Daphnia pulex: one gene and its partners. The protein of the gene in region 6 purifies or fractionates together with the protein of the main gene of each other region. This does not show direct contact. Links are inferred from orthologs where the notes say so. Each region holds a gene or a part of one and is shown on either strand. Other genes may lie near its edges. The genes, in order: splicing factor 3A subunit 3-like, splicing factor 3B subunit 6-like, splicing factor U2AF 50 kDa subunit-like, splicing factor 3A subunit 1-like, pre-mRNA-processing factor 19-like, small nuclear ribonucleoprotein Sm D1-like and splicing factor 3B subunit 3-like.

The links.
Region 1: the proteins of small nuclear ribonucleoprotein Sm D1-like (region 6) and splicing factor 3A subunit 3-like fractionate together in Homo sapiens (co-fractionation; 3 studies listed by BioGRID and IntAct, with this or other methods). This does not show direct contact. The link is inferred for Daphnia pulex from reciprocal best matches to the Homo sapiens genes SNRPD1 and SF3A3.
Region 2: the proteins of small nuclear ribonucleoprotein Sm D1-like (region 6) and splicing factor 3B subunit 6-like fractionate together in Homo sapiens (co-fractionation; 3 studies listed by BioGRID and IntAct, with this or other methods). This does not show direct contact. The link is inferred for Daphnia pulex from reciprocal best matches to the Homo sapiens genes SNRPD1 and SF3B6.
Region 3: the proteins of small nuclear ribonucleoprotein Sm D1-like (region 6) and splicing factor U2AF 50 kDa subunit-like fractionate together in Homo sapiens (co-fractionation; 3 studies listed by BioGRID, with this or other methods). This does not show direct contact. The link is inferred for Daphnia pulex from reciprocal best matches to the Homo sapiens genes SNRPD1 and U2AF2.
Region 4: the proteins of small nuclear ribonucleoprotein Sm D1-like (region 6) and splicing factor 3A subunit 1-like fractionate together in Homo sapiens (co-fractionation; 4 studies listed by BioGRID and IntAct, with this or other methods). This does not show direct contact. The link is inferred for Daphnia pulex from reciprocal best matches to the Homo sapiens genes SNRPD1 and SF3A1.
Region 5: the proteins of small nuclear ribonucleoprotein Sm D1-like (region 6) and pre-mRNA-processing factor 19-like fractionate together in Homo sapiens (co-fractionation; 3 studies listed by BioGRID). This does not show direct contact. The link is inferred for Daphnia pulex from reciprocal best matches to the Homo sapiens genes SNRPD1 and PRPF19.
Region 7: the proteins of small nuclear ribonucleoprotein Sm D1-like (region 6) and splicing factor 3B subunit 3-like fractionate together in Homo sapiens (co-fractionation; 4 studies listed by BioGRID and IntAct, with this or other methods). This does not show direct contact. The link is inferred for Daphnia pulex from reciprocal best matches to the Homo sapiens genes SNRPD1 and SF3B3.

Annotation. Positions count from the first base shown.
Region 1 is NC_060028.1:1,227,920-1,232,062, reverse strand, and holds splicing factor 3A subunit 3-like, read right to left. Parts: upstream 2,745-4,143; 5' UTR 2,632-2,744; coding exon 2,488-2,631; intron 2,423-2,487; coding exon 2,264-2,422; intron 2,204-2,263; coding exon 2,131-2,203; intron 2,073-2,130; coding exon 1,981-2,072; intron 1,917-1,980; coding exon 1,695-1,916; intron 1,632-1,694; coding exon 1,321-1,631; intron 1,260-1,320; coding exon 1,151-1,259; intron 1,090-1,150; coding exon 1,015-1,089; intron 947-1,014; coding exon 745-946; intron 673-744; coding exon 539-672; 3' UTR 501-538; downstream 1-500. Other genes in the region: moesin/ezrin/radixin homolog 1-like, read left to right, coding at 3,387-3,428, 4,004-4,143. UniProt on the Homo sapiens protein: Component of the 17S U2 SnRNP complex of the spliceosome, a large ribonucleoprotein complex that removes introns from transcribed pre-mRNAs.
Region 2 is NC_060019.1:12,853,526-12,855,994, forward strand, and holds splicing factor 3B subunit 6-like, read right to left. Parts: upstream 1,233-2,469; 5' UTR 1,103-1,232; coding exon 1,073-1,102; intron 959-1,072; coding exon 840-958; intron 783-839; coding exon 563-782; 3' UTR 501-562; downstream 1-500. Other genes in the region: dolichyldiphosphatase 1-like, read left to right, coding at 1-77, 140-269; pantothenate kinase 3-like, read left to right, coding at 1,686-1,785, 1,847-2,037, 2,105-2,278, 2,347-2,469.
Region 3 is NC_060018.1:5,213,018-5,217,114, forward strand, and holds the start of splicing factor U2AF 50 kDa subunit-like, read right to left. Parts: upstream 2,801-4,097; 5' UTR 2,648-2,800; coding exon 2,620-2,647; intron 2,332-2,619; coding exon 2,032-2,331; intron 1,968-2,031; coding exon 1,705-1,967; intron 1,629-1,704; coding exon 1,406-1,628; intron 1,339-1,405; coding exon 1,265-1,338; intron 982-1,264; coding exon 859-981; intron 796-858; coding exon 637-795; intron 571-636; coding exon 271-570; 3' UTR 1-270. Other genes in the region: RNA-binding protein 28-like, read left to right, coding at 3,067-3,180, 3,255-3,423, 3,484-3,932, 3,995-4,097. UniProt on the Homo sapiens protein: Plays a role in pre-mRNA splicing and 3'-end processing. By recruiting PRPF19 and the PRP19C/Prp19 complex/NTC/Nineteen complex to the RNA polymerase II C-terminal domain (CTD), and thereby pre-mRNA, may couple transcription to splicing.
Region 4 is NC_060024.1:13,065,697-13,069,974, reverse strand, and holds the start of splicing factor 3A subunit 1-like, read right to left. Parts: upstream 2,801-4,278; 5' UTR 2,589-2,800; coding exon 2,480-2,588; intron 2,423-2,479; coding exon 2,044-2,422; intron 1,975-2,043; coding exon 1,815-1,974; intron 1,753-1,814; coding exon 175-1,752; 3' UTR 1-174. Other genes in the region: proteasome subunit alpha type-2, read right to left, coding at 3,306-3,636, 3,715-3,970, 4,030-4,106, 4,167-4,207. UniProt on the Homo sapiens protein: Component of the 17S U2 SnRNP complex of the spliceosome, a large ribonucleoprotein complex that removes introns from transcribed pre-mRNAs.
Region 5 is NC_060022.1:3,394,092-3,398,195, reverse strand, and holds pre-mRNA-processing factor 19-like, read right to left. Parts: upstream 2,747-4,104; 5' UTR 2,634-2,746; coding exon 2,615-2,633; intron 2,520-2,614; coding exon 2,370-2,519; intron 2,308-2,369; coding exon 2,166-2,307; intron 2,106-2,165; coding exon 1,964-2,105; intron 1,900-1,963; coding exon 1,714-1,899; intron 1,658-1,713; coding exon 1,472-1,657; intron 1,393-1,471; coding exon 1,056-1,392; intron 989-1,055; coding exon 639-988; 3' UTR 501-638; downstream 1-500. Other genes in the region: heterogeneous nuclear ribonucleoprotein 27C-like, read left to right, coding at 3,054-3,112, 3,245-3,452, 3,656-3,857. UniProt on the Homo sapiens protein: Ubiquitin-protein ligase which is a core component of several complexes mainly involved pre-mRNA splicing and DNA repair. Required for pre-mRNA splicing as component of the spliceosome.
Region 6 is NC_060020.1:8,496,612-8,499,594, forward strand, and holds small nuclear ribonucleoprotein Sm D1-like, read right to left. Parts: upstream 1,532-2,983; 5' UTR 1,383-1,531; coding exon 1,369-1,382; intron 1,182-1,368; coding exon 1,105-1,181; intron 942-1,104; coding exon 741-941; intron 683-740; coding exon 597-682; 3' UTR 501-596; downstream 1-500. Other genes in the region: GPALPP motifs-containing protein 1-like, read left to right, coding at 1,964-2,437, 2,525-2,695, 2,764-2,919. UniProt on the Homo sapiens protein: Plays a role in pre-mRNA splicing as a core component of the spliceosomal U1, U2, U4 and U5 small nuclear ribonucleoproteins (snRNPs), the building blocks of the spliceosome.
Region 7 is NC_060019.1:9,348,446-9,352,688, reverse strand, and holds the start of splicing factor 3B subunit 3-like, read right to left. Parts: upstream 2,801-4,243; 5' UTR 2,646-2,800; intron 2,320-2,645; 5' UTR 2,264-2,319; coding exon 2,038-2,263; intron 1,973-2,037; coding exon 1,802-1,972; intron 1,615-1,801; coding exon 1,338-1,614; intron 1,146-1,337; coding exon 995-1,145; intron 784-994; coding exon 542-783; intron 375-541; coding exon 196-374; intron 137-195; coding exon 1-136. UniProt on the Homo sapiens protein: Component of the 17S U2 SnRNP complex of the spliceosome, a large ribonucleoprotein complex that removes introns from transcribed pre-mRNAs.

The DNA of each region.
Region 1 (4,143 bases), on a different chromosome or scaffold from region 6:
GCCATTTCGATATTTCAAATACAGATGTTATCAATTAAAGACAAATTCAATTATAAGCAAGTGATTAAAGCTTGGGGTGCCTTTTCAATATCGTGATTGCTCAGAGGTTTTAAATATTTGTTATAAGATGACTGTTTAAAATTCGAATATGATTAAGATTACATACCTATAGTAAGGTGGTATATACTTTAAGTGTGTTAAAATGCAAGTATACTAAAAGTAGCTGATCGATGAGGATATCGACGGAAATCAGTGACACATAAGCATTAATCCATATTCTTTTTCTCGACATGTCGATGAGCTGGGAATTGAGACGAATGACGAAAAACTCCATCTGAGCAAAGTTTTGTGATGGGAAGATGATTCAGTAATACAAGTTGACAACAAAGTGATAAATCGAAACATAGATTAAGATTACCAATATTACAGTGACACTCGACAACAACCAAGGAGCTTGCGCTTCCTCTGTGCAAATGTGATGGAATAAAAATATAACCGCGCACGAAGTTATAAGATTTATTTTTCCAGTCATGTTTCTTTACAAGAGACCCTGTCGACGCAAATCTTCGTACGTTTTCTTGGGGATGACGTTGCCCATCGAGTCCTCGTACTCTTCCTCGTGATCGGCGACGAAACGTTCTGACGTTTTCTGGCTTCTCAATTTTGTCCAAACTGAAGTTTCAATTAGAATTTTATTATTAATCGGTAGGGGACAGGAAAAACAAAAATAAACTGAAAGCTTACGTGAAATTGCATCTTCGATTCGTGTTACGTTAGCAAAGTGGGCCGTGTTGGGAATACCCAGACACCGCATGCCGTGAGCGTGACGCCATTCGGCAAAATGACGTTGAAACGCCTTTGGACCTTTGTACGTGTAATTGCCGCAAATCTCGCAATTGTAGCTGATGTTCAAGCCGTGCAATTTGTAAAGCCAATATGGAATGGGCTGGATAAGAGATGAATCGATAAGATTAGAACAAAGTTACACAATTATTAATGTTGGTTCATTTATACCTTTCCATCCCAACCTAGTGGTAAATTCTTGGGATTGTAAGGGACGTCATCGTCTTCATCTTCATCCTCGGGGACCTGAAAATGGCAGTTGAGAATTTAAAGTTTAAGGAAATATGTCAAAGTAATTAAGTTATACCTCGACAACGTCTTCTTCTTCCTCCTCTCGTTCCCCATCTGTTCGGGCCTGTTTACGTTCCACGTTCTCTTTGGTAGCATGCCGTGGTTCAGACAAGATCTCAATCAGTCTATGAATTATTCACAATTAATTATTCATTCAATTTCATTCAATAATTTAAATGGAATTACTTATAAACTTGAGCCTCCAGAAGGGCAATCTTCTTTTGTTTTTCGGCTTCCTTATCTTGTTCGGTAGCACCTCGATTTTTACCCTGGCCTTTGGCGAAGAGAGATTTGTCAATTTCATCTACCGACAGACCTTTTGTACTGAAGAGTCTTTTGGCACGGTCTTCGAGTGTTCCACCGCACTTGAGACCCAAAGCTATCAATGCTGATTTCAAACGATCCAGTCCTAGAGATGCCAATTCCTCACAAGATGAAAAGGCTGAAATATCCAACGCCGCACCTGCGTTTGCCAAAGCACTTCCGGTTGTTTCTTTCTATAAATTTGCCAGCGTTAGTTAGGTTGGACAGAAAATAGAAACAGTCGTAAATAGACTTACCGGCCATCCAGGAAATGTACCCGCTACAAAGTCCTTTTCGAAATCTTGTTCGATTTCATGAAACAAGTTGTCAAGGTCCATGACTGGTTTTACTCGAGCAACATAATCGACTAAATAATCCACCAATGCTTGTAGATAGTTTCTGTATTCAGCGTTCTTCTTCTCCCGGGGAATATCAAAGAGACGGTCAAACATATTAAGGTAGCTAATGTAGTCAATTTTCTGTAAGAAATATAACTGTGTTAATTTTTTTCGATTTGTTTCTTGTTTCAATCTATAAACTGACCTGAATTCCTTTTAAATTTGTGTATTTCACATAGCTTTCATGAAGATCCAAATATTTGCCATAGCCCTCCTCATCGGTAAAGTCAACCAAATCTGAAAATCAAATTACATTAGCTTTATATGACTGTGCTTTCTGTCAGATATAACCTACTATTTGTTTCGTCAGCTCCACTCTCTCTCTGTTTGGCAAACTCATCAAATTCCATGGACATTGGTACAGCAATCTGTGAAACAAAACCAACTGCTATTGAATGACACTTAAAGAAAATGAATGTGTTTTATACCTCATTTGGATGTTTTTTGTAAAATTCCTTGATCTGTTTTAGTCTGTTGTAAAATTCCACAAATTCATTTGGTCCAGAGAGCAGTGCCACCTCCTCTTTGCGCTGTCCGTCCTTGTCTTCATAGATCTCTTTCAAAACTCTTGTACTCTCCATATACCTCTACAGTTATCAAAATACGACATTAAGAGTTGTTTGTTCAATTGTATGAGCCAAAGTTTACATACGTCAAGCAAAATTTTCTGACGGTGTTCCGAGTTGATTATCTCCCTTTGAGTGGTCTTTTTGAAGATTGTTTCCTTGACCATGGAGTCGATGATACGCTCTTTTTCTTCATGATATCTCCTCTGCTGCTCTAGCAAAGTCTCCATTGGTTTTAATGAATTGAATTGTATGATAAAATAAAAAAATTTAAACAAGCCGGCAATAAACGAGCAAAAATCACAATGCTTGGGCTTGGAAAACAAACTGGTGGCCGTTGTAAGAACTAAAGTATTCTATCGATTTTTTGCAAAAACTATTTTCACTTTTTTAATTATAATGTTTTTAATTATTAAAATGGTACAATTCGTTAAAATAAAAGAATATATTGTCTAAATTTAAATTTGATGATTTGTTACTCATTTCATGTTTACAAGACTGTAAAGTGTAAACCCCTTAAAATTAAATTTTGATTCATTTACCTTCTCAATATACACAGCTTAATAAATTTTCTAGCTTAATTAAAAATTTTAATTTATTCCTAATCATTAAAAACCAATTTCATTCATTGCATTCCAAGAAAATGTGAGCATTTTTTTGCTGTCAGGACTCAGGACGGTAATGTTTCCTAGTGTCGCCAGAGGGATGGAGCGAAGTCTTTGAAAATCGAAATAAAAAGAAAAAAGAAAAAAAAGCTGAGCTAAGCTATTGGTAGCCATATTGCAGAAGAGCGAAGAGGGGAGGTATACTGAGGGCCAACAACGGTCGAGAGCCGCCGCCGATTCAGTGCGTTATAAGTGGCTGTCACCCGAGAGAGTGGTTTTCACGTATACGCAACAGTACTTATTTCTGTTTTATTCTTTTACATTTAATCTGATTAACATTTTTTAGTGTATATCCACACATCCAAACCGAAAAGAACTTGATGTTTGTTTATCAGGTGGCCGTCGTTCAAACAATAGGCGTGGTGTGTGTGTGTGTTTCTTGAGTTGTGTTTGGTGTGTTCGCCATTGGGAATCGTGAAAAATCGAAAAACGATTCGGCCTCTTGACTCGAGTGTTTGCCCTAAGCATTCCCCCCTCCCTTATTTTCATCCTTTCCCTATCAATGACACTCAAGGCTCATGTTGAAATACAGGTGTCTGAATGAATGCTCATCTCTCTGGGTTTGGAAATAATGTACGGGCCAGCCATGACATCACCATTCCTTCCTTGTATTCTTTCCATTCAACCGTAATTTATTTTTTCTCCTCTTGACATTTCAAAAGGAATGTCTTGGTTTTCGATCAACCCTGATGCATTCGCTAAACTGTGACGGCACCCTGCCAAATGGACAGGATGTGTTGGGAAGTCACTCTGGCCTTTCGACAACTCACATATACATATAGAATCCCATCACTCTAGCTATGTGCCCACATGCTGACCATCTGTGTACTTTAGATTTTGTTGACCATATGCTATTGAATCTCTTCTACACCACCAGCAACAACCCCAGTCTGTCTGTCTGACATTAATTTCTTCCTGTTGTTTTCTTTCTTTCCAGGTTCTCCGTGCGTATTGTTCGCGCGAGCGTGAGTCTGCAGAAGAAGAAGAAGTAAAAGCCCGGCTTTCAACTCTTCCAACAAGAGTCAGAGGAGAGAAAAAGCTTGAAACAGCCCAAGAGCAAACAAGATCATCCAACAT
Region 2 (2,469 bases), on a different chromosome or scaffold from region 6:
GGATCTGTTTTAGCAGTTTCGTGGTTCTTATTTACGCAATTCGCTCTAACGCCGTGGTTCCCAACTGTTGCATCATGGTTAGTTTTCCTCAAAAGTGTTTCCATGCCGATAACATGCAATATTCATTGTTATTTCTTAGGAGAGTGTGTGAATGGCTATTGGTGAGAGATCAAACATTAATCCCTAACATTATCTGGTTTGAATATACATCTCACCGGAGCGAATCAAAGCACAGAAGTCGAAAATTGGTCTCCATGAAGTCCCAGTAAAACTGGCTTGAAAATAATTTTGTGTTCAGTAGCTGCAGTGCAATTGTTTGTCTGTTTACTGTGCCTACAAATCTGTTATTCTTGAAAGCCGGATATTTCGTGAATATTCTTTTTAGAAAAAACATTTTTGAGTTGTAATAACTCGTGCAAATCATATTTGATATTCCATTACAATGGAATACCTCACAATTACACTGGTTGGAAAAGGGTCAATACTGGTTACAATTCACATAGTGAAAATGGTTTTTTTATTATACCAAATTGTACAATGAGAAATGAGGTCAATTTACATGTTATTCATCATTCAATCCAAATTTAGCCTTCATGCTTTCTATCTCTTCTTTCTTCTTGTCTGTGTCAACCTTTTTGAAGGCCTTTGTAGGTTGATAATAGAGTACTACAAGGTAACGATTGCAGACATTAAAACCAGAAAGATGATCACAAGCATTTTTTGCATCAAAAATGTCTTCATAGACCACAAAAGCTGTTCCTCTGGTTTCTGGAGTGTTCCCTCTATCAAATCAAATGAGTTACAATTGATGCTAACATATATTATCAATTTCTACTTACACTCTGATTTGCCGAATAGCTCCGTATTTTCCAAAGATATCATACATTTCTTCTGATGTAATTTTATAGGGAAGATTTCGGACATATAGGATTCTGTTTACTTCAGGAGGTAACCTCACCTGAAAAATAAAAATATTTAAGAAATGCTCACATGGAAATCTTGATGCACAACAATCTTGACTCAATATAATAAACTACTAATGATAAAAAAAAATTAACACATGATTGCATACGTTTAGCTTTTTCTGCATTGCCATCGCCATTGTTAGGAGTAAAATTCAGTTAAAACAACGAAATCACTGATCAATACAATTCAAAACTGTGCTCGTGAACTTGACAATAAGAACGCCGCTTGGTATTCAAAATGGCTGCATAGCAGACGACGATTCTGAGCTGACAGAATAAACAAAACATTATTTTCGTGTAATTCAATTAATTGGTTTTATGCACTAGAAAATTTGATTCAAATTAAATACTAAAAAAATGTATATATATCTCATAAAAATCTTTTCCTAGCTCAATTTACTCTTCACATTTTAATATTTTGGCAATGCTGATGTTTTAGCAGACGAATTTGTGTCAAATGAGGAATAGCATACTCAAATAAGAGAAAAGGAAAGGGGAAAAGTTTCCACATCGTACGACCCGAATTCCTTTTTCTATTGGTTCGAATATCAAGATATGATGCAGATGGCCACTATTCGAGTCGCGTAAACTGAACTGATTCGCTACTTCCGATATCAATTAAATAAAGGGATTTTTAAGCTTCATCCGGTGCTGTGCATACAATAAAGAATTGCTGGGATATAACTAAAGAAAGCACATTGAAATTCTGCACATTAACAGATGTCTTCTGATCACGAAACACAATATGGTCGCACAATGGATAGTGTAGAAAACAGGGTAACAAATGGCCATGATTCAAGTTCCACAGTTGTTCATTCTCGTAAGTATTGTTATTTTTAATCAATTAGTTGTGATAATAAACAATTATTTTTATTCTACAGCTAGCATGCCCTGGTTTGGAATGGATATAGGTGGAACTTTAGTTAAATTAGTGTATTTTGAACCAACTGACATTGCTCCTGAGGAAGAGAATGTAAGTTCGTCAGAAATTGAAACCTTACACAACATTCAAAAGTATCTCACTAGTAACAATGCTTATGGAGAGACAGGGCACCGAGACATTCATCTGCAGGTGTTTACATCTTCTAATCTTTCCTATTTTATCAGAAATTGATTTCAGTATAATTTTCAAATTTCAGATGAGTTCAATTCCAATGGGAAACAGAGTAGGAACATTACATTTCATCAGATTTCCTACCTCTGAAATGGAGCAATTTCTGCAGCTAGCAAAATCTAAAGGATTTGCCTCTCTGTCCACAACCATTTGTGCCACAGGTGGAGGTGCATACAAGTTTGAAAAAGACTTTTTAAGGGTTTGTACACTTTATGCAGCTTTGATTTCTTTTTCTTTTTTCTTATCTTGTTATACGGTTGTCTGTAGGCTGTTAATTTAAATCTACATAAATCGGACGAACTGGAATCCCTTATCGGTGGGCTCTTGTACATTGAAGAAATTCATCGTCCCGAGGTTTATTATTGGGAAAATCCAACTGACGAAACTAAG
Region 3 (4,097 bases), on a different chromosome or scaffold from region 6:
TTGTTTTTTCACCGACACGCCAAACAAAGAGGTTGGACAACACAAACTTGATGCAAAATATCGAAAAACCCATTTAGAAATGACAAAAAAAAACTGAAGAAAAAGAAAATCAAATTCATCAAGGGAAATCCCGTACGCATCAGGCCGTTTATTCTCATCAAGCGTCGGTTCGTCATGACGTTATTTGTTTCATCAAAGTAAAAAAAAAAAAAAAAAGAAGGGGCATATCTTGCGGATTACTTTTTGTCTGATGACAGAAGCCGTCATGGCTTAGAAGTCCCGTCGGTGATAGCGTTCCGGTTCGTAAAATGACGTAACGACGATACGATTGGCGAACTTGCGACCTGTCAGCGCCTGCTGGGCTTTAACGCAGTCGCTCACCGAAATAAACTCGACGAAGACCTTGCCAACTCCCGGTACATCATCGACACCCTCCAACGGCCTGGGAATTTCGACTGAACGTACGGCTCCATGACGATTGCATTCCTCACGAATATCGTCCACAATTTCCTCATATTCCTCGTCGTCCCTCAATTCCTCGGGTGTCACCATGTTCAGCAGACATAGAACCTACGCAAAAGAAAAGACCAAAATGAAATTAAAAATTGTCGCATTAGACAAGGTTGATTTTTGTACCTCTGTCGGTTGGCCAGGACCGGCAGCAAGATTGAATCCTGGTACTTGAATCTGGACTGGCATCTGGGCGTAAGCAGCGGCGTTTTTGGCTCCAACACTGGCTCGCTGGATGATGATCTTTTTGTCTCCCAACTGCATACCGTTCAATCCGGAAATAGCCTGAAAGAAAAATAAAATTAGATGTAATGGTTTTTCAAGGAATATTATCATGGTCTACTTTACTTGATCGGTGACGGTGACGTCGGCATACTCGCAGAAAGCGTATCCCTTGGATAAGCCAGTAGCCGTATCTTTAACTAAGTTAAAGGCTCGAAGTTGTCCAAAAGACATCAGCAATTCCTTTACCTAAATTCGAATGAGACAATTTGCGTGCGTGCCTAGAGTCGACCTTCAAAAATAACAATCTAGGGATCGACGGTGGGGAGATGGATCGAGGTTGTGTGGTTGGAATGGGTAGGAAGTTTTAAGGATCACGTGACCACTGTTTAGGGAGAACGAAAGAAGAAGACATTCATCAGAATCGATTTTGCTTCAACTAGACGCTCACAAATCCCATTTCTCTCACTCTTTTTTCTTCTCCCAATCGAAAACACATTTTACAGTCACATCGACGAAACAGGTAACTTACTTGTTCTTCGTTTAAGTAATTTGGAAGTCCACCGATGAACAATTTGTGGGGTGTATCCGGGACGATCGTGCTCACTGAGCAAAAAACAATGAATACATTAAAGAAATTTGCCATAAAAGAATCACTTTAAGTCGTCCTTACTTGTGCCTCCTCCTCCTCCACCACCTCCACCTCCAGCCCTCTTTTCAGTTATACCACCAGAACTCATGCCGGGCGTTGTTTCGGGACCACCACCTCCTCCTCCTCCGCCGCCACCACCAGGTGTTGGATGATAATCATGGGGTCTGCGGATTTTTAGAGTTTGACCTTTAAAGTTAATACCGTCAAAAGCCATGGCCTGGGAAGTTTCATCAATTGACCGAAACTGAAAAGTAAAAGAGCAAAATTATTTAAATATTCCACTAAAATACTAGGTTTCACGTGAAAACAATCCAACAAACCTCCAAGAATGCAAAATTCTTATCCAGATTAATTTGACAAGCTAAAATGGGATGACCTGGAGCTTGAGACAGACCAGACAAATGCATCTGTTGATTGAAGAAATCCATCATTTCCTCCTCCGCTGCGCGTACATCAGAAACTCCAAAAGGAATATTCCCAACATAGAGTCTCCTGGCTTGACGAGTGATTGTGTTACCCACTACTGGTACTTGGACTTGTGGGGCTACTTCCGTCATTATGTTAGCTGGAATTTGTCCGGCAGCTACGTAGATTCAAGAAAATAATAATTAGCACATTAAAATTGAAACTTGAATAAGGATTTATACCTTGCATTGCTTTGTATTGCATGGGTGTGATGTGTTCGAAACCAATAGGAGGAATATCCCAGTAAATAGACGGCTTTCTTCGGCGTTGCTTTTTAACAGGAGAACGACTCCTTTTGCGTTCACGTTCACGGGACTTGCTACGCTTCTTCTCCTTCTCCTTTTCCTTAGATTTAGACCTTCTCTTTCTGTCACGAGACCTGGACCGTCTACGATCCCTGTCTCTATCTCTTTCCCTATCCTTGTCTCTTTCCTTGTCCTTTTCCTTATCTCTGGAACGGTCACGATCTCTCTCCCTGTCAACTAAAGTATTTCAAATGTTAATAAATCAAACAAGTAAGTTTACTTGCTTGACTACCTTCTAACTACTATGACTAATATTTCCATACAAAAGCAAAACCACGAGCCAACATTATAAACCATTAAAAGTTATGAAATTATGTGTAAAATACAACCAGATCATTAAACACCCATTACTTGTAAGTAATGTGTGTTAAACATTTCTTTCTTAAGCATCACAGACTCTTAAGAACATTACAAAAGCATTATAGTTGATATTGACAGAAGTAGTTTAGAGAAGTTAAAACATACCTTTACGATCATCTTTATCTTCTCCCATGATTAACGTGTGATTGTTAGCTTTTGTACGACAATAAGAAGAAACACAGCAGAGGAAAACAGTTAATTATTGTCCAAATTTTCACTAAGACTGTAAGCCGGTTTGATTAAAGGCTGGGAATGGGCGAATGGCGTCGGAGACGAGGTTCGATTGACTCCTTGTACCGGCAACGTCGATTTAATGTTTACAATTTCAAACTTGGTTTTGATTAATATACTGAAAGGTAAGATTAAATATTTCATAAAATAATAGCCACATAAAATTTATTTTCTGAGTAATTGTTGTATTCATGTTAATCCTCATTAGTTGTCATTTTGCCAATTGACAACAGTCTATGCTACATTTTGACACATATAATCGTCTGCTTGACTAGCTACATCAGTTATACAGACAAGCACGTGTTTGGATAGATTTAAAAGATGAATCACTCTTCAGTTAAAAAAGAAGCTTCTATTGTTACTAAAGCAAACACATCAAAGAAGAGACCACCCAATAAAAGAGGAAGAATAATTATTCGCAATTTATCTTTCAAAGTAAGCCAAGAAACTTTAATTTATGCTACTTTTAGTATGTTAGTAAGTTAGTACTTGATTTAATTTATTAACAGGCAACAGAAGAAGCTGTTAAAAACTGGTTTGAGAAATATGGAGAAATTGAGGATGTGAAATTATTAAAGAAACCTGGTGGCACTTTAGTTGGCTGTGGTTTTGTTCAATTTAAAACAGTTCCATGTGCGGCTACAGCAATCAAAGAATGCAATGCAAAACCATTTCTTGGTAAGAAAATTTTAACATTTTAAATTTGATAATAGCTTATCAATTGTTTTTTTTTTGTAGGAAGGCAAATAGCTATTGATTGGGCCATACCAAAACAACAGTATGCCACTTTAAATAATAAAACTGACGAAGTTCCAAACATTGAGCCGCCAGAGAAGAAAAATGACAGAAAAGATGAAGAATCTGATGATGAAGAAAGTAATGATGAAGAAGAAGATAATGATGAAGAAGAACAAGATGGAGAAGCTTCTGATTCTGAAGTTGAGAATGGTTCCGGTGAAGAAGAAAGTCCAAAAAAAGAAGAAGCTTGGAAGGGTGATAATTCTGAAATAGAAAAGAAGAGTGATGTAGCAGAAGGAAAGACTCTTTTTATCAGAAATTTGGACTTTTCAACCACAAAAGACTCGTTGAAAAATTTCATGGAAAAATTTGGCAGTGTTCACTATGCATTGTTGTGTATGGATAAAATTATGGAGAGACCCAAGGGCACTGGATTCGTAAAATTTAGAGTAAGTTGCATTATTGCAAAAATAAATACATACTAATAACTTTTCATATTAACCATTTTTAGGATTCGGAATCGGCTCAAAAGTGTTTAGAAGAGTCTCGAAATCCATATTTACAGTTAGATGGACGCATTTTAGACGTGGCTCTTGCAGTTACTCGGGAAGACC
Region 4 (4,278 bases), on a different chromosome or scaffold from region 6:
TGAGAAAAGTTGAATATATTTCCATTTCTGAGACCAGGAAGGAATCGATGACAGTGTAGCAGAGGGAGAGACAAAATGGTTGTAAAATGCTTTCCGATTACGTAATTATCCCCCAAGGTCCGTACTGATGTAAATGAGGTTTTTTGATGGTTTAGGATTTTCCAGAATTGTTTTTTACTTCTTACGACCGCCTCGTTCCTTCACCTGAAGCTGGACAACAGCATCGGGGGTAACATTGTAAAATGCCAGAGAATGATTGTCCTTGAAGTAGAGCCCCTCCCAAAAGAGCTTTTGCTTGGCCGGCGGCATTCCTGTCGCTTCACTAATCTTCTGCTTAACAACGGAGATTGGTTCCGTGGGCAACAAGGAAAAGCTGAGCTGCTGGCCCTGCAATCTCCACTCGGGTTTTTCGGCGTAAACTGGTGCACCAATATGGAAGTGGAGCAGACCGGGATATCTGACCAAAAAGGCTTCCTCAGGCATAAGTTGATCCTCGTTGCGCTGTCGTTTAGAAGGAGGCTCCTCCTCCATGACATCTCGACCACCCTGACCCTGCTGCTGTTGCTGCATCATGCCCATAGACTGAGGCATCTGCGTCATGAAAGAATTCTGGGGGACCATGGGCATTGGCATTGGCGGCTGAGGGATGGACATCATCATCATGGGTGGCGGCTGCGGAGCAGACATCATGACCGGTGGTCTTGGTGGAATGCTCATTAATTGTTGTGGAGGTTTAGGTGGCGCTGCTGCTACAACGCCATTAGATCCTAGCCCATCTTCTTCCTCGCTCATGCCAGTCATGAGCGCCTTGTTCTTGTGGATCTGCGCAATCTGCTCTTGTATGGTAACCAGGCCAGCAGGTGGACCAGGTCGGGGTTGGAACGTTGATCCTCCCTCTCCACCTGATGGTGGCGGGGCAGGCGGTTGTTGTCCTTCCCATTTGGTCTCGTCTTTGCGACGCTCTTCTTCACCAATCTTTTTACCGATGGCTGTCTCTTCGTCACCGACACCGAAAATATCTGTACGACGTTCAGCCAATGCTCGCAAGCTGTTTTCGATGGCTGATCCGGGCGCGTACACAGACTCTTGAGTCATCTTTTCTTGCATTTGTCGATCGCGCTGCTCCAACCAACGCGGATCCAGCAAACCGATACGCATGTGCTCAGCCACTTGGCTAGCCGGAATTCGCTCTCCAGTGATGGGTGAGATGAGGTACTCGTCTGGAGCAGGCGGACGGGCTTGTGGTTTTGCCACAGCTTTGGGATTGTAGTCTTTACGCACGATGACGTTTTCGGCAGAAGGAGCCACTGGAGGAGGCTGTAGTCCATCTCCCTTGATGGCTTGAGAGGGCGGTGCGCCTGGTGGTGGTGGTGGCTTTGTCTGTTCCGTGTCTGAATCGTCTTCTTCATCATCGTCTTCCTCTTCACTCTCCAGCTGCATCTCAACATCTTGTCCTTCTTCGTAGCGCTCCTGGAGAAGAATACGGGCACCGACCTCCTCTGGGGTTGTGGGAGGAGGGAAATTACCAATTTCGAATGGTTGATAGTCAACTGATTCGACGACTACAAAGTCGTGCCAATCAATTTGCGCATATGACACGCGTTCCCTTTCAGCTTCTTCTTCTTCTCGGCGTTTCTGAGCCTCTTGATGACGTTGCCAGTCGGCTCGTCGTTTGACTTCTTGTAAGACAACGCTAGTATTAGTGCAACCCTCGTTCAAACGGGTCATCAAGTCTTTCGGTGGGATAAGAACCTAAAGAATAACAAAATCATTTAGACTTTCATTCAAACAAAATAATCTACCAATCAAAATACTTTGGTGTACTGTTCTAGGAGACGAGTGAAATATTGAAAAAGCGAGTGCTGAGGACGCAGAAAGTCAAACTGATAATTTCTGGCCTCACGATTCATCAGACTTGTGAGGAACTGGCGACCATTCCTAGCTACAAATTGGGCAGTGAGTTTCACAATGTCTCTGAAATAAGACACAAGTGTTGTTAAGTTTTAGCTTCATAATATTTAAATAGTTATTTAAAAAACTCACAATTCCATGGCTGAAATCGATGGAGGATCAACAATGAATTCAAACTCTGGAGGTGGCTCTTTTGGGATTACAGGGGCTTCTTGCTGGAATTGTTTCAAAATTTCTTGCTGTTTCTGCTGCTGTGCCAACGAAGCTGGTGCTGATGTAGGGGCTGATGGTGGTGGTTTTCCCGGTGGGCCTGGGACAGGTGCTGCTGCAGGTGCACCTTCTGCAAGCTTTCCTTCTCTGATATCCTTAACTTTGTACTGGTAGTATGCATGATAAGGATCTCCAGTATTAAGAAAGTTGAATTTTGGGTTATTCTGCTCATTTTTCCTAATCCGTGCTTCAAACTCCAACCCATTTCTGGCTACAAAGCTGGCTGTCTTGTCCACAATATCTAAGAAGAAAATTGTTATGAATTATTCACGAACTTGTAAGTTGACAACAAACTTACTTCTGACTTCAGGAGGTGGGTAAATGATGCCGACAGTAGGCTTGGTAGAAGCATTCTCGGGCATATTTACTTCACCAGAAACTGGCAATGTTTCCACAGCAGGTGGCATGCTGACTATCAAACTCTATTCTGATGTATGAAATTGTCAGATTCTCACGTCAAAATTAAAAACTGATTCTATTTCTAAAATGTGAGTTAAATAGCGTTTTTCTGTTCCGGCTTTAACAGCAGAACGCAACAAAACGTTGCTGTCTATCCGCTACAATGTTGTCAGACTGTTTAATTTCAGTGTGGCGCCCACTTCTTCCGAATTCCGATTCCGACTTCTTCCCACTTTTTTCCACCTAGAAAAAATTGTTAAACTCTTATCTGCTATTAGTTCAATTCAGAAAAAGAATCCCTTGAACTATACTGTTGAATTATACGGAATTCACTAATATATGTCAAGTACCAAAACAAAATCATATCCAAATTCATAGTTCATTCGGTTCATTCATCTGTTTGCTCGTTTGAATCGATACAAGAAATGAAGAAAGTATGTAGTAAGAATTTAGAATAAACTTGAACGTTAAACAACAATGATCAAGTATAAAAAATACAACCACTTTGAACTGATTGAGGAATTATGACTGGATCTTTTAGATCTTTTATCTGATAGATTTTAAGATTTCTAACAGGCAATTTGAGTGAAGATAGTAGGAAAATGATTGTTTAGCAATGAACAAAGAAAAGGAATTTTGTTTTTAAAATCCAAGAGAAAATTCATTAAGCAACCATCAGATTTATTTTTCGACACTTGTTTGAAATCAAAGAATTTTCGAGCCGTTTAGGCAATGTTCGCCAAGTAATCCTTAACCTCAGCGGGAGATAATCGGCGGAAACCCTGCTCGTTACAAATACCAATTTCAACATTATCTTCTGTCATGCCTCCTTCAAAACCCTCTTTGAGAGTAAGAATCGCAGTGTGGACAGCATCGTCGAGCTCGAGGTCTTCATTGTATCTTTTCTCGAGGAAAGTTTTGCCATTGATGTAATTCTTTCCCATGGCAGTGGCTTTCCAGGCAAAGTAGGCTCCTGATGGATCACACTGAAACAGATATGGACGTCCTTCATCCCAGCCACACATCAAGAGTGAAACACCAAATGGCCTGACACCTCTGCATTACAAAAATTCATTGAAATGTTCATCTATACTATTTAAGAACTATTTTTTTGTGACAAAACCAAATATTTACCCAGACTGTGTGTACTCTTGCATGAGGGTAGCAACACGCTGGACAAGCTGGGCAGTTGGTATCTGTTCTTGATAAGTTACCCAATATTGTTGAGCCATTTTCCTTGCTTGACGAACCAAGAGGCGATAATCAGGACCCATTCCACTGTAGACCATACCGATCTTGGGGGTAATCATTTCAATCTTGTGAACACTGTGTTCTTCATATAAGATTGACCGATGCTTCTTCTCAGTGGCCAGAACGACACCATTGGCAGCTATAACATAACATTATTTACATTGTTACAATCTTTTACATGCTGAAATTTCAATATACCTTTAATGCCGACTGATGCAGCACCGGCAGCTACTGCGGCCAAAGCATACTCGATTTGTACCAGTTTTCCAGAAGGACTAAACAATGAAAATAAATGTTATATTTAGTCAAAACTTAGAAAGTAAATGATAGAAAACCTGAAAGTTGTTAGGGAGAAACTATATCTTTCGGAAGCCATGGTCTAGTTAGATTTTTTAGTTCTGTTCTGTTCAGTTATTGAATGACAGGACAGAATTGAATGCGCCTTCA
Region 5 (4,104 bases), on a different chromosome or scaffold from region 6:
TTGTGTCAACTCTTTAGGGAGAAAAAAAAATGCGTCAAATTAAAGAAGACAAATTTTTTGAAGGGCAGAAAATTTTATTCATTCAACAAAACCACGCTTCCAATTACAAAAGATGCAACAATGCAACTTGATAGAAGCGACGGTTGAAGGAACTGTTTTTGGGCGACTTACCTCGTACTTTATCTGGAAAAATCTTGATTCAGGATAGCAATCCAATATGAAGAATTTGAACTATGAAATTTGAAATTAACGTAGTATGATCTCACTATTCCTTGTTTACAAGAGTCGACCGGCATTTTAGGCCAAATACATAAACCCCTGTACGAAGGAGCGGCCGATGCATCGATTGCCTAAGCCGCCATTGGGATATGCTTCAAGAAAGCGAAAATGCCAAGCGAACTGCCACGCCACTAGTGACAAAATTTCGAAGCTTTTTGTTTTATTTAATGTATCGATAGTAACGCGGGAAACTTAACTATCGATATACACTCGTAGAATTGTTTTTGATGGGAAAAATGAAACGCGTGTATTTTTGTGAGGGCGAGAGTTCGATGCGGTTTGCACACCTTACAGCAAAAAAAAGGATAAGACGAAAAATGTTCATTTAAAAATCCCCTCTCAACATTGAATACAGTGAATCACTCGATGCCATAAATTTTCAGCGTACGATCCATACTCACAGACGCTATCGACTGCGCATGGTTGCCGAAACGGACTCCCATAGCCAATGCTGTATGGTCGTTAAAAGTCTTAAGAGTTTCCCATTGCTTGCAGAGATAAACACGCACGTCGGTACCAGCCACAGCAAGGTAGGTGCCGCTTTGATCGAAGCACAAGTCCTTAACTTCGTATCCTTCGTCGAGCTGAATTGTTTTAAAATTCTTCAATTTCCGTAAATCCCACAATTTGACGCAAGAGTCTTCTGCCGCTGTAGCCAAATAGTAACCATTTTCTGAAAATGACAAAGCCGCAATAGGACCGGAATGACCTGTAATTGTAAAAATGGTAATAGTAAAGCTAATGTTTATCACAAGATTATTTTAAAAGAGCCAAACCTGGAAAGTTGGCCACGTTAGATTGTTCTTTTAAATCCCAAATTTTGATCTGTGAATCTTGTGTTCCAGTGCCGAAAATGAGACCATCTGGATGGAACTGGGCTGTCGTAAGCGGATTTCCGTCTGTGTCGGCAACCTTTGTCAACAACCGCCCAACGCGAATGTCTGAAAATGCCCAGTGTTGATCCAGTGACGTCGACAAAACATATTCTCCGGTTGCGTGGAGCGACAAGCCTGTGACAGGGCCATCATGAGCACGGATGATGGCAGATTGTGAGGAGCCGGTTATATTCCAAACACGAATCGTCGCATCAGGAGATGCTGTTATCGCGACTTCCTATAACAGATTCAAGGGGTATATTAGTATCATATAACAAAGTAAATCAAGAGAAAATTAAAAGAAAACATGAAATTACCTCTTCTGGATGATAAAGCACCTTGGTAACTTTTTTTGTATGTCCCTTGAGAACAGCAACAACCTGCTCAGTGTCCTTGTTAAAAACTGTAGCGCATCGATCGTTACCTCCAGTCAAAATATGAGAAGTATCGGCGGCGTGAACGTCCATGGTCAAAATTCCGGGCATACTTGCACTGTGCAAAGCCTATATGTAATCAATCCATGAAGATGGGATAACATTTCAAAATTATATGTCATTACCGGATGAGATGCCAAAGTTTTATATCCCTTCAAAGCTTCTGCTGTAGCTAAGCCTTCGGGCATGGTTTTGCCTCTACGTTTTCGTTCTTGAGTAAGAACAGTGGCTTTATCTTGTAATTGTGATATGATTTCCGGAGTTAATCCAGCTGCCTCGATCGGTTGTGCTGCCACACCACCCGCTTCAGCCTTACATCAAATCAGTAAATTTATCATAAATAACATACAAATAAATATCATAATGCTTTCTTACTGAGGCAGCAACAGATGGTGTAGATACAGCAGCATAGCCAGTCTGGGGCTTAAGAGTTGCAAGTGCTTCCCGTGCTGTAGACACTTCCTTGTGGAGGCGTGCAATAACACGACAAGCAGCATCATGTTGGTAGAGAGCATGACTACAAATAGAAAGAGAATGTTTGCACAATAATTCCATGTGTAATTAAGTTGGTCAATACCTCAATTCTTGTCGAGCAGTTTGTAATTGTTGCCTCAAAGTAAAGGAATTTAACATGACAGCATCCCATTCATCTTGTAAAGACTTAAGCACGGCGGGAATGCTTGTTGCAGATGGCACTTTAGGCTTAACAATTGGGGGGGCTAGAAACAAAATTTCAATTACATGTAAATTCATTGTGGAACTTTGATAAAAAATTTCTTACTTTTGATTTCAATAAGTTGATCTACAGTTATTTCTTTCCCATTGATGGGATCTACCCCGTTATCAGCAATGTACTTTTCAATCAGCCGACGTTCAAACACAGATCCTGACACCGGTGAGACCACAGGATGTTCGGGAACTTCGTTCGACACTATATAAGCAAGAGATATAAGACATTAAATATCAAATTTCTCAGAAGAATGGATTGGTTTTAAATTGATATTTATAATGAAAATGTAATATTACGAGAACAACAGAGGGCCATGATGAAGCGTGTAACCTTTTTTTATATACTTTTCACAAAAATGTGCGACAAGCCAAGATGCATATGTTCGCTTCGCTTAGGGCTAAACAGTTGCTAGACTACACTATTCAATAAAGCGCTTCATTCCTCAGTGCGAGTTTTCTTTTCTTTTCAAAATCCAATCATTTTTTTAAGACTCAGAAATTTTTTTATTGGAATGTGTAAAAGAAACAGCATAGTTTTTTATAAGTAATAATTTCATAATTTAAGTTTCAAGTTTTCAACTAGAAAAAGTGTCCAGGCAACGGTGCAAACTGACTGAAATGCCGGGCCAGCCATTTCCCCCATTTCTCAACTGAAGAAGCCAACCCAAGCGCAGTGCGAACACTCCTCGAAAATTTGAAAGATTCGTTTACTGTTATATTCAATTTAAACTGAACAATGGCCTCTCAACAAAAATTCCCTGGAAAAGAAGGTGGTGATAATTCGAATGAACAAGGGTAAGAAATTTTTTCCATTTATAATATGACATGTGAAGTTCATGGGAGAATGTAAATCCATGACGCCGTACACTAAGCTTTTCATGATTTGCGTCCATTTACTATTTTTTGGTACGAATCTTGTTTTTTTAGTAAAATGTTCATCGGAGGTTTAAGCTGGGAAACGACGCGCGATAATTTGCTTCGATATTTCAGTCAGTATGGTGAAGTTGTTGACTGTGTGGTAATGAAGAACCCAGAAACTGGTAGATCGAGAGGGTTTGGGTTCATTACATTTGCTGATCCTAACAATGTTGGTTTAGTACTACAAAACACACCCCATATACTCGATAATCGCACAGTAAGTTTTTATATTTTCTTCATACTCTTATTTGCACTACCTGAGCGGTGATAGAATGTTTAACATAATTTTATCTCCTTTCGCGGTATTGCTACATAGAAGTGGAAGGAATTGAAGTTTATATCTCAACTTGAGATATATATTTGATTTCTTTCTACATTTTTGGTTGTTTTTTATGATCTCATATTTTTATGTTTATGCAGATTGACCCCAAACCTTGTAATCCACGTGCCGAAATGGTACGCGCTCCTCGCCGGAGTATGGGTACAGGAAATGGTTACAAAGTATTTTTAGGTGGGCTTCCATCAAACTTGACAGAAACAGATCTTCGTAACTTCTTCTCGCAGTACGGAAAGGTCTCTGAAGTCGTTATCATGTACGACCAAGAAAAGAAAAAATCTCGAGGTGAGTCACTTTCCTCAATTAGTGGGTATTAAAGTTAATTAAAACAGCGTAAATAAACTATGAACGTCCTTACATAACGTATGACGCAAGTGTAAGTGGTTATATTCCGAAGATTCGATGGATTCCTTTTTTGATAACTTTGCTAACTTTAATAGTGTGGTTATTTTATTCCTATAGGTAAGCAAATGGCTAAGTTCCTATCCACGTTTACTTCTACTGCTCATGTGAAAGAGTTTCCGCGAATTAC
Region 6 (2,983 bases):
TAGAAAATTAGGAGCAGATATCGCCGAAAGCCTCTTAAACGCAAATACCTCTTAAACTGAAGTTACAAAAGCAAATAAAACTTGTAGCCACGACTGTTCTTAAACATGTCAAGTTTTCCTTAAATTTGCGACATTCTTAATTTAAATTAAAGTTTAATGGTTTAGTCACAAAAAATTGAATAGTTTTAGTCTAAATTTAATAGAAAAGTAATTTAACTTTCATTTCCATCAAACTTTCATTACTTATTACACCGCTCTTTACACTTGTTTTTTCCCCGACTCCTCTGACAAAATGGCAAGAATAGTCAATATTCTTGAAATAAGCAAGGAAACGTTATGCGATGTCCGCTTATAAATCAAGAAAAGGAATTGACGGTTCTCTACAAATTATCTATGCTTACATGGGAGTCAATTGGAATTGATAAATAATTCTCATACAGACTCAACTGTGGGGAAAAAAGTGTTTGTTTTAAGGACTTTTCAACTGACCAAAAAACATATAAGACAATGACAATTTGTAATGCAAATGAAAACTGATTCCACATTTGCTGAAAAGAACGAAAAAAAAAATGGAAAATCGTTGGAAATTACAAATTTCAGCGTCGAGGACCAGTAGCACCACGTCCACGTCCTCGTCCACGTCCTCCTCTGACAGCTCCGCGTCCACGGCCTCTTCCACGAGCTAAAAAAAGAAAAGAAAATGAAAAGAGGAACACAGTGATAAGGGGAAAAAAGTTTACCTCTACCGCTAGCATCCTTCTTCTTGGCCTTGGCTTTCGGAGAATCATCCAATAGTAAGGTTTCAAGAGGAAGTGAATCAGGTAAAATGTAGTACCGGATGTTGTTTCCTCTAATACTCAAAGTTTCAAGCTGAACAGGGTCTCTGTTTTTAACTGTCATTTTCACAGCTTTTAAATGAGTGTTCATAGCAACATCAACTCCTATAAAACATAATCAAATGAATGAATTTAGTAATATACAAAACGGAAAACTTTTCTTCTAAAATGTCACTTATGTGTTTGCAATTTCACTAAGTTTTCGAAGAAAGTATTTAAGGATTGCAGTAAAATAAAAAATCGAATAAAGACAACAAAATTGAATTACCTGTTATTGTTCCATGAACCTGAGTACCATTTTTTAATTCAATAATGACTGTTTCGTGGCTCAGTTTCATCAAAAACCTAAGGATTATACAAAATAATGGTATTTATTTCAATTGAAAGCAGTGAACTATTTAAGTTGTGAAATATAGAAACGGCATAGTTTCCCAGACGCATCCAACAACCGGCTTAATACCCAGACCAAACCGATTTTTGTGGCTACTTTCTGTACGAATTTACTTGACAATGAACATATTCCGAAACTTACCTCACTAATTTCATTTTTGATAAACTTGTTGTTTGATGGCTGTAATAAAGTAAATCACCATATACGACTTATTGAATGTTTTAATCCTTAGTTTAGTGAAACGCACGAGGTACGCTAGTCAAAAACCAAAACTGCTTGTTGGAAGCATAACTTATACTAAAAAGGCCCTGTGACATTTCATATTTCATAACGGTCGATGACTATGATTTTTGTACTTGTAACGTAGCGCCATCTACGCAAATATTTTGAATTTTGTTATTAGACAAGGTTTATTTTTGCATATTTTAATCAAAAATTAACTAATAATAATTTTTTTTTATTATTTTAAATTTATTTATCAAAATAAATTCATAAATCCAGAAGCATTATCGAAGCGTATCATAGAACCGCATAGAACACAAGTGGCATGACATGAGTGACAATAAAACGTACTCCAAAACAGAAAACACATGAGACAGGCCTGCATACTATAACAGCATTTCCAGTAAGCTAAACATTGGGTTTCGGTTTCACCTATTTTCGATTTTTTAAAAATAATTCTTTGTCGGTAACGCATTCTCAATTTCCCGCGTGGTTTTAATTTTTCCCTCTCAAAATGTCTCGAATCGGACCAACATTACCTCCTCATCTTCAAACAGCGTATGAAAATGATGATTCAGATTCTGATGAAGGTGATCTCTACGGACCAGCACTTCCCGCTCATTTAAAATCACAGAAAGTGTCCAGCAAGTTAGTGCAATCAAATATCTCCAATGACAGAGGATGCTCTGTTAATCATGAAGTTGACTCTTCATCAGATGATGAAGTTATTGGACCACTGCCAGCTGATTGTATGGATGCTGAACATAGTTCATCAGTTGACATTGAACAGCGGGCTCTTAAGATGAAGAGGAAGTTGCTTGGTGTGGATGATGATGAAGCCAACAAGCAACCAAAAAGAGAAGATTGGATGATTGAGCTTCCAGAACTGAAAAGGAAAAACTTTGGCCTGGGACCTCGTGTCTTTAATCGTTCTGACAAACCTGAGGTTGTAGGGAGAGATCAATGGACTTCAACACCAACTTCCAAGGTTCAGATAGTACAATAGATACACATATAATGAAATTTTCTTAGCTGGTCATTGCTAATTTCTATAATTTAATTAATATAATTTTAGCAGCCTAGTACATCCAAAGAAAAAGATGAGGATTTTGAAGCTGAAATGAGGAAACAATACTTGGAACAAAAAAGGAATAAGAAGCTTGAGAAAATTGTGGCCATGCATGATAAATCCAAGAAGAGGTCAGAGAGTTTGTTGAAGACACATCAAAAGGAAATGAAAAGCAAGGTAATCCTACATTTTTATTTTTGCTGTTAAAGTTGGGGTAATTTGAAGTAAGATTTTTGTTTCTATAGAAAGACAACTCGTCCGGTCCTAAAGAAAGAAAACCTTTTGATCGTGATGAAGATTTAAAACTGAATCAACTCGATAATGCAAAGCGGAAATCCTTAATTAAGAAGTCCCAAGAATTAAATTCAAAGTTCAAAATTGGGAATCAAAAGTACCTTTAAATAAAGTGTAATTTCATAGCTTCAAACCTTGGTTCAAAATATGGTTCAGGTGATAACGTTTTTC
Region 7 (4,243 bases), on a different chromosome or scaffold from region 6:
GTCCACACTGCATTGGGGTTACCGGGAAGTTCAGAAACAGCCATCTCCGATACTTCCAATCCATGACGGAGAACACGAAGAGACGAACGAGAACTTCTACCACAAAGTGCATACAACTGGGGTGTATCCTCATTGGCTGTAAATTGAAAACAAATGTTAAAAACCTTTCAAAACAGGAGGAATTATCAAACCTACCGAGATCAGCAATATGGCAGGCCAGAACTGGAGATAAAGACTCCATCTCGTCCACGAGAACAAGATTCTTCAAAGGTCTCGGAGCAAAGAAGAAAGTATCTCCTTCCTCCAATGGTATAGTAGAGCTGAATTCGGGTTCATCGTCATCATCCCCCAAATGAGCAATCTGGTAAAGATAACTAATAACACAAGGAAAATTAATACACTTGAAAACCCATAAAACTACTTCAAATTTTGTAACCGAAATCAGAGTCAAAAATTATAATCAAAGTGTTATCTCAGGTGAAACACGGATGACAATACACATCATTTCAGCAAATAGAAAAAAAAATTTAAGAAAACTAACTGATTTCCAAATTCCGATGCGACGAATAGAAAGCCTGTCTTCAACACACACATGCTGGACGAAACTGGAACGGTATCAAAGTACTTGATTTTCAATTCTCTCACCACCTCTTCATCCATATCCATGGTGATCTTGAAAATATCGCCCTGCTCCGTTTGGACAAGGAAGAAAAACATGGCCTTGGTGCGATGGGAAGCCGAGCAGACGAAAATCATGCCCCTTTCCGGATCATCCAAGTCATTCTACAGAGAAAAAACTTATTACTACCGTCCTCAATACATGGAATAAATAACTTATCGGAGGTTCGTTCCAGGACAGCATGCAATATGCGCATTACAATCCAACGATGCAAACATCTCCAAGTATAGTTTAGGCACTAGTCGACCAGCACGTGTATAGAACACGGCTGGAGATACCGCGCGCCAAATAACATAATGAAATGATCAAACGTACCCTTCTTCTGGGGATTGGGCAACGAATGTCATGCTGTTCACCCAAATTCTTATATGTGATGTAGTTCTCGGAGCAAACCAGAACTCCGGAAGGTCCGTCGTTTCCTCCAGGAACAGTGATGAGGAAATTGGCGTGCTCATCCAACGGCTCACTATTAAAGTAAAGATATGTTCATCAAAATATTTCTTACATTGTCACACATAAGTCAACAATGTTACACACTATGATAGATAATGTCCCCCTTATGTATAGCTGCAATCTTTAAGTGACAAGAGAGCAGTAAAGTTAAGGGGTTTTGAAACCCAACCAGGCAAAACCAAAATCACCAAGATTTGTTACGCACCTATATTTCCTAACGACGTGGTTTAAACCCAGATCGAGTTCGTAGAATGTAAGCGTTTGTTGCGTCTTCTGTGCCGCCTCGCCTGTTGGATCACCATCGGCCTCTTCATAATCCATCTCCAAACAAGCAAATACAGGGTTTTCAAATCCCACGTCAACACCCACTATGTTGTAAACTAGAGTGTTTGACTTGTGAGCCTCCAGCGGAGAAGAAATGGTTAAATGGGCTTGGGCATCCCTGTTCAGAATGTAGACCAGTTTTTGCTTCTCAATAGCACCTGCAATGCAAAAAAAAAACATAAATGTTAAAGCAATGCGCACTCTCAAGCCACAAGATTTCGATTTTAAAAAATTCTCAGTAAAAACGTTAGATATCAGCATTATCTTTCTCAGATGGGGAAAGAAGACATAAAAACGTAACTCATCACTTGCAAGAATTTAAATTAAAAACGGATCAAAACTTACTGATCATAACAGCTCTGCCTTTGGGATCAATTGCCATGTACTGTCCAGGAACAATCCGACGACAACCGCTTTTGCCGTACGTTTCTTGGTGCACCTTATCAAACACATTTTTGGCAGCATTGTATTCAAGAATGACAATTCGCCCAGAGTCTGATCCGACCACAAGGTAATCTAAATACAGAATTAATGAAAGTTAGCAGGATGTATGTTTTAAAAATTATATTTGCACAACTCACCCTTATTTCCTCCAGTAAGCCTGAAACTAATGATTGACCTGATGATTCCAAAAACCTCTTGACTGAGAAGTGTGTGTACTTTGCCAGTGTTGGGATCCGGCTTCACAATTTCGAGTACCTTTCCACGAGCAATGACAATCTCCTGTTGCTTGGTGCCACTGAAGTTGCCCTGGACTGCCTGAATGATGCCAGTGGCACGCTGCAGAGTCAGATTGTAAAGATACATTTTCTTTCAAGTTGACGTGTCCAATGTGTAACTTGAACTGCCTAGATGAGCATCACCTGCGAAAATGTTATCAGATATAATTCTTACATTTGTCCAACATGTTTAATGACAATGTTACACACCATTTGAAAATTAATGTCCCCCTCATGTATAGCCACCAAACTTAATTCACAGAAAGGCGGTAAAGTTGTAAGGGGTTTTCTTTTCTTTAATAGCTAGACGAGTACGCGAAAGAAACTACAGCCCCGGCATCTCACCCGGCAAGGTTTTCAAATTGACATGCTTCAATATTTTAAACATCGCCAAAAACACACATTTAACCATCAAAATAACTGCTTTTCAACTATCTGGAACTAAAATGTGTAGTCAAACTTGAATTTACCTGTGGATGTTACAGATTTTCCATGATGGAAAATTCAGCAAAGGTTGAGTGAAATCTCTCTTGGCTCCGGCGTCGCGCTCGAGTTTAGGGTTCGACTTCTCGTGCATTGTGTGATAGGCAATATTTTTGAACATCTGACATCGACTCTCTACTTGGTCTATCCCTAAACACAGCATTTTCAATGCATTTGCGCTTTCTTTATCACAAGATTTTTTAAATTATTATTATTATTTATAGAACGATTTCATAATGCATTATACAATAAAATTGTGAAATTAATAAAAAATTTCAGTGGTGATAATCAAGAATGATTTATTCACAGCTGTTTTTATTACTCATAAAGTAATTCAAAAGACGTGTTCATATTCCGATCCCTTGCTATGCGCGCGAGTTTCTCTCTAGAACCACCATGCAGCCACGCTTTGAATAGACAAGTTCGGGATGCTGAGTTGCACAACCGCAAAATTAGGATCGTGCGCCAACGAGTTTTTGTAACGTTGTGGGGATAGTAGAAAGCGGGTTTTTTATTATTTAAGCATAGAATTACTTATCTAATCTTAGAAATGTTCAGGATTATCGTTGTTTAGAACATTCTGCTTTTTATAGAGTAATTTTAAATGTATAATTCAGCTTAGTTTACCCATTCAAATTAAAGAAAGTCCAAGCCTGGGATGCTGTTTAGTCTTTTCTTGTGTGTTTGAGCTTGTCACTTGTCAGCAGATCTGTCAAAAAACACAAGAAAAGACTAAACAGCATCCCAGGCTTGGACTTTCTTTAATTTTAATGGGTAAACTAAGCTGAATTATACATTTAAAATTACTCTATAAAAAGCAGAATGTTCTAAACAACGATAATCCTGAACATTTCTAAGATTAGATAAGTAATTCTATGCTTAAATAATAAAAAACCCGCTTTCTACTATCCCCACAACGTTACAAAAACTCGTTGGCGCACGATCCTAATTTTGCGGTTGTGCAACTCAGCATCCCGAACTTGTCTATCTTTTAAAATTTCTTATTCAAAAATTTTTATTTGCGGTGCGGTAAGGAATAACGAATAAGGGTGTTGAAGCACTTATCTTTTTTTTTCAATTCATAATGTACCGTTGAATTCATTTCGAGTCATTCAATTCATATTGACTGAAACAATCGAGTTCCCGAACTTTACCGATTAACTCGTCCTCTGTCGCCAGTGATGGAATGTGGAACGGCTTGCAGTCGGAAATCAACTCTTGACTTTTGATGTTTCCTATTAAGAACAAGTTTAGAGGTTTGAAAAAAAACGAAACTAGAAAAAACGAAGAATTTGATGTTGTCCTTGCATTCTTTGGAACAGCCTTTATTGCAGCATCTTCCAAAAGATAGCCGCAGCGAAATTCTTCGACGTTTGGAATTTAACATCGTCGACTTGTTGTTGTTGTATACGCGATATCAGCAGTCGGTAGTTTTGGGCCAACTTTCGTCGTCGTCGGGAACAGCATGAGATTATAGTTTTCTACACTGTCATAAATGCGTTGAGATAAGGCGCTGCTGGGCGCGGTATGAAATCCCCTTGTTCCGTAATATAACATGCTGCAACCGCTATAAGCCATGTACGCG